Ovis aries: one gene and its partner. The protein of the gene in region 1 purifies or fractionates together with the protein of each later gene. This does not show direct contact. Links are inferred from orthologs where the notes say so. Each region holds a gene or a part of one and is shown on either strand. Other genes may lie near its edges. The genes, in order: SNX33 and DNM2.

Region 1 (4,393 bases):
TTTGTAGCCCAGGAGGCCTGGTACAGAATACTCAGTTAATGTTTCCTTGAGTACATGATCAAATGAATGAGACAAAGACAATGAATGAACAGAGGACAAGAGTTGTTAGGTCGCTCAGGCGTGTCCAGCTCTTTGGTACACCATGAACTGCAGAATGCCAGGCTTCCCTGTCCTTCACTATCTCCTGGAGTTTGCTCAGACTCATGTTCATTGAGTCGGTGATGTCATCAAACCGTCTCATTCTCCTCCTGCCCTCAGTCTTTCCCAGCATCAGGGTCTCTTTCAATGTGCCAGCTATTCTTATAAGACAAGAGGGTAGATTGTAAACTCTCCAAGGCAGGCACCCCCACTACCTTCTGGTACCCTGATCCCCAGTGCCCAGCACAATGTCTGGCAGAATCAATGACCAGGGTCAAGAACCCTTTACCTCTTCCCAGAGCCCCAGCCCGACCATTCCTCTCGTCCCCGTGGTGTTAGCAAAGATGAGACACCGGTCTCCGCCAGCCGCCGCTCAAAGCACGGCGGAACCTGGTCGTGCCTACTCTTGTTACCCGTCACTGCAGATGTAGTCTTGTCTTTCTCCCCGGAGGGAGTCGCCCAGGACAGGGGTTCTCCTGGCCCTGTCCGTCTAGGGTACTAGGACCCGCCGCGGCCTGTATCCCAGCCAGCTCAAGCTTTTTCCATGAGGGCACCGCTGGCTCTGGGGCCCCCTCCAGAAAACAATCCCCAGGCGGCGCCACGGCGGCGTCCGGCCGGAGCGGTGGCGGGGCGGAGAAGCGAGAGCGGGGGTCTGCGGGTTTCCGCGCACCCTTCCTCCACCTCCCGGGTCCCGGCTCTGGCGTTCTCCTTGTAGCCCCGCACGTGGCAAACTTTCAGAGTTTTCCTCACTTGCGTCACGGAAAAGGCAAGAGGGTGACGGAGCCCGGGAGGCGAGGCGGCGGCTGGAGAGCTCCCCCGCGCGGCGCTTGAGCCCCTCGGGGCGTGAGGAGTCTCCCTGAGAGCGCGGACAGGCTGCGGGGGCGCGGCTGCCCTAGGGTCTGGCCCCGGAGGCTGCCTCTTCCGCGACCGATCGTCTTGCTCTCGCATCCCGATCTCCCCGCGAGTGAGTAAAGGCGCCCGCCACAAGAGAAAAGAGAGGAGTAGGCGGGAGCCAGGCTGCTGCGTCCCAGGCCAGCGGGAGGGCGGAGCCGGGCCGTCCCCGGCCAGCCAGGACGCAAGGAAGTGCCGCGGAGTTTGCCCAATTCCCCAGCCTGCTTTTCCTTCTCCCTCCCTCTCCCCACCCCTCAACCCCTCCTCCCCGTCCCCCCGCCGGCTATTCCCTCCTTCCTCGGGACGCCACCTCCCGGAATCGCCTTTTTTTTCTGTTGTTTTGGATCTGGCTTCTCGCTGGCGGCGCCGAGGAGCCGCGAACGCTAGAGAAGAACGCGGGCTCGGGGCTCAGGCCGCCGCCCACCGGCGGGATCCCGCAGGGCAGGACGGCCGGACAGACGGCCGGACAGACGGCCGGCCGCACCATCAGCTCTCCAAGCTCACTCTCCAAACTCCTGTTGAGTGTGTGCGTGCACGCGAGAGGGGGAGGAGGGGGTCTACGTCCAGCGCTCCGGGGCCGGTTACCAAGGGGATTACCTTTGGACGAGGGTCCTTGGACTCAGATCAGGGTCATCTTCAGGCTCAGAAACTGCTGAGGAATTAGGCAAACAAAAGAGGCCACTCAGCTAGTGGCCAGGAGTCGCCCGAGCGCCTCGTCGCGTCCCCTCCTTTCCCCCGGGTTGGGGCTGGCCGCTTGGGGGCGGGGAGAGGGCATCCGAGCCGGCTGAGGGCTGGGGGCCGGGCCGGGCCGCCGGGTCGCAGAGTTGGCCGGCCTGTTGTGTAAGCCTCAGTCCTTGTTTTCCCGGCCTGGCTTGTTGTGAAGCCGGACACATCCACCCCTGGATTCGATTCAGGAGGCTGCCGCTTTTCTCCTTGCCCCTCTTGGATTTTCTGGATTTTTGAAAACCCAGTGGCCCAGGAAGAGGAGGAGGAAGGAGGAAGGAGATCTGCAGAGGAATGTGAGAGCCTCCCGAGGCCCAGGCTGGAGGAGCCAGAAGCAGCTGGGAGCCAGAGCTACCGGAGTTTCTGGGACGGTGGTTTCCAAGTGATTCTTTTCTATTTTAGAACATTGTTCCAGCGGAGAGTGTCGAATTCTTGCCTGCTCAGGGCTGGTTTTCTCCCAGTCACTTGACTTTTCTTCTAGGAGTGGGAGGAGGAGAGACTCTCTCCTGCAGGGGCTGCGGAAGGAAGGGAGGAAGACCAGGGACATGAGCCCTCTCGACTCACAGGCATGTGCGGGCAGACCTGGTAGGGCCGATTCTGGGCCATGGACATTGCTTTGAAGAGAGAAGGCTGGATACCTTCTGTGGGTGCTCAGACCCCGCAGTAAGGGCTGAGAGACCGAGGGCTGTGGCCAGCCTTGAGTTGCTCGTGCATCCTCGGACACCATAACAAGTGTCCTCAGTTCTGGGCAGGACTCTCCTCAGCATTCTCTACCACTGGCCCAGACATGGCACTCAAAGGGCGAGCCCTCTATGACTTCCGCAGCGAGAACAAGGAGGAGATCAGCATCTGGCAGGACGAGGACTTGGTCATCTTCAGTGAGACCTCGCTGGATGGCTGGCTGCAGGGCCAGAACAGCCGTGGGGAGACCGGGCTCTTCCCTGCCTCTTACGTGGAGATCCTCCGTTCTGACACCGGCTCCAACCATGCCGACTACTCCAGCAGCCCCGCAGGCTCTCTGGGCACCCAGGTTAGCTTGTATGACAGCTCCAACACTTCCAGGAGTGGTGGCGGCAGTGGCTTTCTGTCAAACCAGGGTAGTTTCGAGGAGGACGATGACGATGACTGGGATGACTGGGATGATGGATGTACGGTGGTGGAGGAGCCACGGGCCGGTGGGCTGGGCACCAACGGGCATCCTCCGCTCAACCTCTCCTACCCTGGTGCCTACCCCAGCCAACACATGGCCTTCCGGCCCAAGCCACCCCTGGAGCGGCAGGACAGCCTGGCATCTGCCAAGCGAGGCAGCGTGGTGGGGCGCAACCTCAACCGCTTCTCGTGCTTCGTGCGCTCTGGCGTGGAGGCCTTCATCCTGGGTGACGTGCCCATGATGGCCAAGATCGCTGAGACATACTCCATTGAGATGGGCCCTCACGGCCCCCAGTGGAAGGCCAACCCCCATCCATTTTCGTGCTCCGTGGAGGACCCCACCAAACAGACCAAATTCAAGGGCATCAAAAGCTACATCTCCTACAAGCTCACACCCACCCACGCCAGCTCACCTGTCTACCGGCGCTACAAACACTTCGACTGGCTCTACAACCGCCTGCTGCACAAATTCACTGTCATCTCGGTGCCCCATCTCCCGGAGAAGCAGGCCACAGGTCGCTTTGAGGAGGACTTTATCGAGAAGCGGAAGCGGCGGCTCATCCTCTGGATGGACCACATGACCAGCCACCCTGTGCTGTCCCAGTACGAGGGTTTCCAGCATTTCCTCAGCTGCCTGGATGACAAGCAGTGGAAGATGGGCAAGCGCCGGGCCGAGAAGGACGAGATGGTGGGTGCCAGCTTCCTGCTCACCTTCCAGATCCCCACAGAGCACCAGGACCTGCAGGATGTGGAGGACCGCGTAGACACCTTCAAAGCCTTCAGCAAGAAGATGGACGACAGTGTCCTGCAGCTCAGCACGGTGGCCTCGGAGCTGGTGCGCAAGCATGTGGGGGGCTTCCGCAAGGAATTCCAGAAGCTGGGCAATGCCTTCCAGGCCATCAGCCATGCCTTCCAGATGGACCCCCCCTTCAGCTCTGAGGCCCTCAACAGCGCCATCTCTCACACGGGCCGAACCTATGAAATGGTTGGTGAAATGTTCGCCGAGCAGCCCAAGAATGACCTCTTCCGGATGCTCGACACACTGTCTCTCTACCAAGGCTTGCTCTCCAACTTCCCTGACATCATCCACCTGCAGAAAGGTAAGAGCCAGTGTGGTCTGGAGACCCTGATGGCGTCTGCGCTCTGCAGAGCACAGGGGCTATGAGGATGCCCAGATGGAGCAGAGCGGCGCAGCTAGTCTTTCAGTCGCTGTCTCATCTGCTCATTCAGCAAGGGTGTTGAGCACCTAGCAGACGACAGGCACTATTCTAGGTACAGGGATATTTATGGGCAGGTCTGGTCCCTGTCCTCATGGAATTCACTGTTTACCTTCTTGTCTGTTCATTCATTCAGTCACTCATTCATTCATTCATTTATTTTCTCTGTTTTTGTCTCATTTACTCGTCTACCCATTATACATTGAGTCCTCCAAGTTATTAGGCTGGGTTCTGGGAACACGGAGCTGACCAGGGCCCAGGCCTTGCCCTTGAGG
Region 2 (3,805 bases), on another chromosome or scaffold:
CTTCCTGGACCAGGGGGTCGAGCCCGAGTCACCTGCATTGGCAGGCGGATTCTTGACCGCTGCACCGCCACGGAAGCCCTAGCTTTTTCTTCTGATGTGTGTGCATTCTTTTTTCATTTGTATGGTGAACAACTGCTCATTTGGGGAACAAAAAGAAGTGTCCAGGAGAAGAAAACTGAAATCACCCATCACTCAGCTTCTCCCCATAGTTACTACTCTGGCTCTCCTTCCTAAGAGTTCCCAAGGATTTGTAATTTTTCTTTTTTTAGACTTTTTTTTCTGGACAGGGACCATTTTTTAAGGCTTTACTGAATTTGTTACAATATTTCTTCTTCCTCTTCTTTTTTTTTCTGTTCTGGAATTTTGGTCGGGAGGCATGTGGAATTTTAGCTCCCTGACCAGGGATCAAACCTACACCCCCTGTGTTGGAAGGCAGAATCTTAACCACTGGACGGTGGGGAAGTCCCTGTACCTTTTAATGTTCAGTACTTGTTGTCAAGCATTTTCTCACGTGGAGAGAAAAATGTGAGGCGTTCCCCTAGACCAGCCTTGTTGCTCATCACACACAGCTAATCGTCACTATCCCAAATATCCTCTCCTGTTGTTCTTCCCTTCCTGGGGGATTATGAAGCAAATCCAGGCACCCTGTCATTTGACACATAAACACCTACATTTCTGTTCCAACGACTCCCCCTCCAGCCACTTGATCTGTGCACCTCATCGGGATCTGGCCAATTATAGTTCTTGCAAACCAGTAATTAGATCTAGACAGAGGCTGATCAGTCTCGTGTTTAGTGGAGTTTCAGATTTTTTTTTAAAATTTTATTTATTTATTCTGTTTTACTTATTTTGGGCTATTCTGGGTCTTCCTTGCTGCACAGGCTTTTCTCTAGTTGAGGCAAGCGGGCCTACTCTCCAGCTGGGGTGCTCGGCCTTGTCATTGCTTCTCAGTAGCTTCTCTTGTTACAGAGCACAGGCTGTAGGCGCGCAGGCTTCGGTAGTCATGGCCTAGTGGCCCCGAGGCATGTAGAATCCTCCCCGACCGGGGATCGAACCTGTGTCCCCTGCTTTGCAAGGTGGATTTTTAACCACTAGACCACCAGGGAAGTCCCTGGATCCTTCTTTTTTAGGTTAACAAAAGGAACCACAGAACAAGCCAGACACCATCTCTGCCCCTTGCTCTTTGCCCTTCACAGTAATCTGGGTTTGCACCTTGCCGCTACTGGTCCTCCATGTGACCATGTGGGCAAGGGACCCCTCCTTGGCCTGCCTCGCTTCCCTCATCTGTAAGGTGGACTTGATGATAGCTCCAAAGAGGACGAGAAACCGTCAGGTCTGCACAAGACTTGGCAGGATAGTTGGCTGAGGATAGCTTGGAGGATAGCTGTGCCCCTCCTCTCCAAAGAAACATCAGTCCTCACTAAGAGAAGGGGGTACAGATATGTGTGTATCACTTCTGACCTTTCACCACCTAGGCCCAGTTCACCTTTCCAATTTTCATTATATGGACAACAATACACACATCTGCTGACTGAGCGCCTCCCAGGTGTTGGCCACCAGGCTCAGTTTCCTGCTTCCCACAACACCCATTCGTGCACCTGTGCAGTGGGGTAGCTTGGGTCCACACTTGGGGTTCCTGGCTGCTTGAATCCCCCTTCCGTCGTCCTCTTCCAACTCCTTTATGTCCAGATATTGTAGATCCTTTTTTCAAAGTAGTTTTCTTATGCTAATGGTTTTTTGTGTTAAAAAAAATTGCCGAATGGTACCTTAAACTGTCGTTTCGGAAGCTGGCTCCCAACCCCTCCTGTATAAGCCCCGCTTCTCTTACAATTAACTGTTGCTTATGTTCTCTTCAGACAGTTTTAAGACAAATACAGTAATTTTGAAAAAACACCCATTCAAGTACTTGCAGTGTTATGTGGAAATCTGTGAATCCCCAGCGAGTTCATTTTGGTGGCCACCAGACGTCGTTTCTTTGCCAACCATTGTTGTTCAGTCACTAAGTTGTGTCCGGCTCTCTGTGACCCCATGGACTGTAGCATACCAGGCTCCCCTGTTCTCCACTGTTTCCCAGAGCTTGCTCAGATCACGTCCATCGAGTCGGTGATGCCATCCAGCCATCTCATCCTCTGTCACCCCGTTCTCCTGCCCTCAGTCTTTCCCAGCATCAGGGTCTTTTCCAGTGAGTCGGCTCCTCACATCAGGTGGCCAGAGTATTGGAGCTTGAGCTTCAGCTTCAGCATTAGTCCTTCAAATGGATATTCAGAGTTGATTTCCTTTAGGATGGACTGTTTGATCTCCTTGTGGATCTTAGTTCCCTGACCAGGAGTCGAACCTGTGCCCTCTACATCGGAAGCTCAGGGTCTTAACTGCTGGACTGTCAGGAAGGTCCCCAGATGTAATAGCTTTAGAACAGGTATTAATATCTGGCACGATTAGTTTTTCCCATTGGCCTTCTTTTTCACATACTGTTTTCTGTCTTTAAAGCTCAGATTGTGGATTTCATCTCCTCCCGAGCTGTTCTTTCTCCAGTCCCTCTCACCAGGCTGAATGTAATCTCTCCTTCCTCCGAACACTTACGTTGCCCTGTGTTTGGATTCTCAGTGTTGCCTCTGAGTAACTCATGAGGCTTGTCACCTCCTCTGGGAGTGCCTTGGAGGGCAGGATCCATGTCTACACCTGCATGTTGCCCAGCCCCATGGCTGGCCTGTAGTGGGCGTCTGGGTTCCTAGGCTTGCCTGGCACTGCCGTGACCTGACCCTCTCTCTCCACAGGCTACATTGGAGTGGTCAACCGCAGCCAGAAGGATATTGAGGGCAAGAAGGACATCCGCACAGCACTGGCGGCTGAGAGGAAGTTTTTCCTTTCCCACCCAGCCTACCGGCACATAGCTGACCGCATGGGCACCCCGCACCTGCAGAAGACTCTGAATCAGGTACGGTGAGGACTTGGTGCAGTTGCTCAGGCTGTGCACTGCAAAACAGCTGCATTCCACAGCGGTGCTGCCGCTAGGCTAGAGCAGCACTCATTCTAGCAAAGTTGAGCTCAGTGAACGTTTGCATCAGTGCCTGGAGAAGAGTCAGTGCTGGTATTATTACTTCCATCACTACTATTGTTACCATTATTTTTTAAGTTTTTTATTGAAGTATAGTTGATTTACAATGTGTTGATTTCTTCTGTACAGCAAAGCAACTCAGTTACACATACATATATTCGTTTTTTTTCTTAGTAGCTTATTGACTGATTTGCGGCCGCACTGGGTCCCTGTCGCTGTGTGGACTTTGTCTTGCGGTGCTGAGCAGAGGTCTGCTGTCTGGTTGCAGTGCACGGGCTTCTCATTGCAGTGGGCGCTCTTGTTGCGGACCACGGGCTCTAGGGCACTGAGCCCGTAGTTGTGGCTCACAGGCTCGGTGGTTCTGCGACATGTGGTATCTTCCCAGACTGGGCATTGAACCTCTGTCTCCTGCATTGGCAGGTGGATTCAAAAGGATACAGTGAAGCGCCATGTGCCTCCTGCCTCTCACCCACCGCTGTAAACACTGCCTGAGTTTCTCTGTCCATGAATGCAGAAAGGACTTCTGAGAAGCACATTTCCCCCTTTATCCATAGTCATGGATGCCCCCCATTTTTCTTTTTTTAAACTCAACAGTATCTCCTGGAGCTCTGTCCCTATAGAAGCCTTCTTCACTCTTTTTCATGGCCCTGTAGAAGCCCCTGGACACACGGGCCCTCATCGGTTTCAGTTCAGTTCAGTCGCTCAGTCGTGTCCGACTCTTTGTGACCCCATGAATCACAGTATGCCAGG

The links.
Region 2: the proteins of SNX33 (region 1) and DNM2 purify together in Homo sapiens (co-immunoprecipitation; 3 studies listed by BioGRID and IntAct, with this or other methods). This does not show direct contact. The link is inferred for Ovis aries from reciprocal best matches to the Homo sapiens genes SNX33 and DNM2.

Annotation. Positions count from the first base shown.
Region 1 is NC_056071.1:30,895,262-30,899,654, reverse strand, and holds the start of SNX33 (sorting nexin-33), read left to right. Parts: upstream 1-1,366; 5' UTR 1,367-2,539; coding exon 2,540-4,001; intron 4,002-4,393. UniProt on the Homo sapiens protein: Plays a role in the reorganization of the cytoskeleton, endocytosis and cellular vesicle trafficking via its interactions with membranes, WASL, DNM1 and DNM2. Acts both during interphase and at the end of mitotic cell divisions.
Region 2 is NC_056058.1:13,095,336-13,099,140, forward strand, and holds part of DNM2 (dynamin-2), read left to right. Parts: intron 1-2,774; coding exon 2,775-2,935; intron 2,936-3,805. UniProt on the Homo sapiens protein: Catalyzes the hydrolysis of GTP and utilizes this energy to mediate vesicle scission at plasma membrane during endocytosis and filament remodeling at many actin structures during organization of the actin cytoskeleton.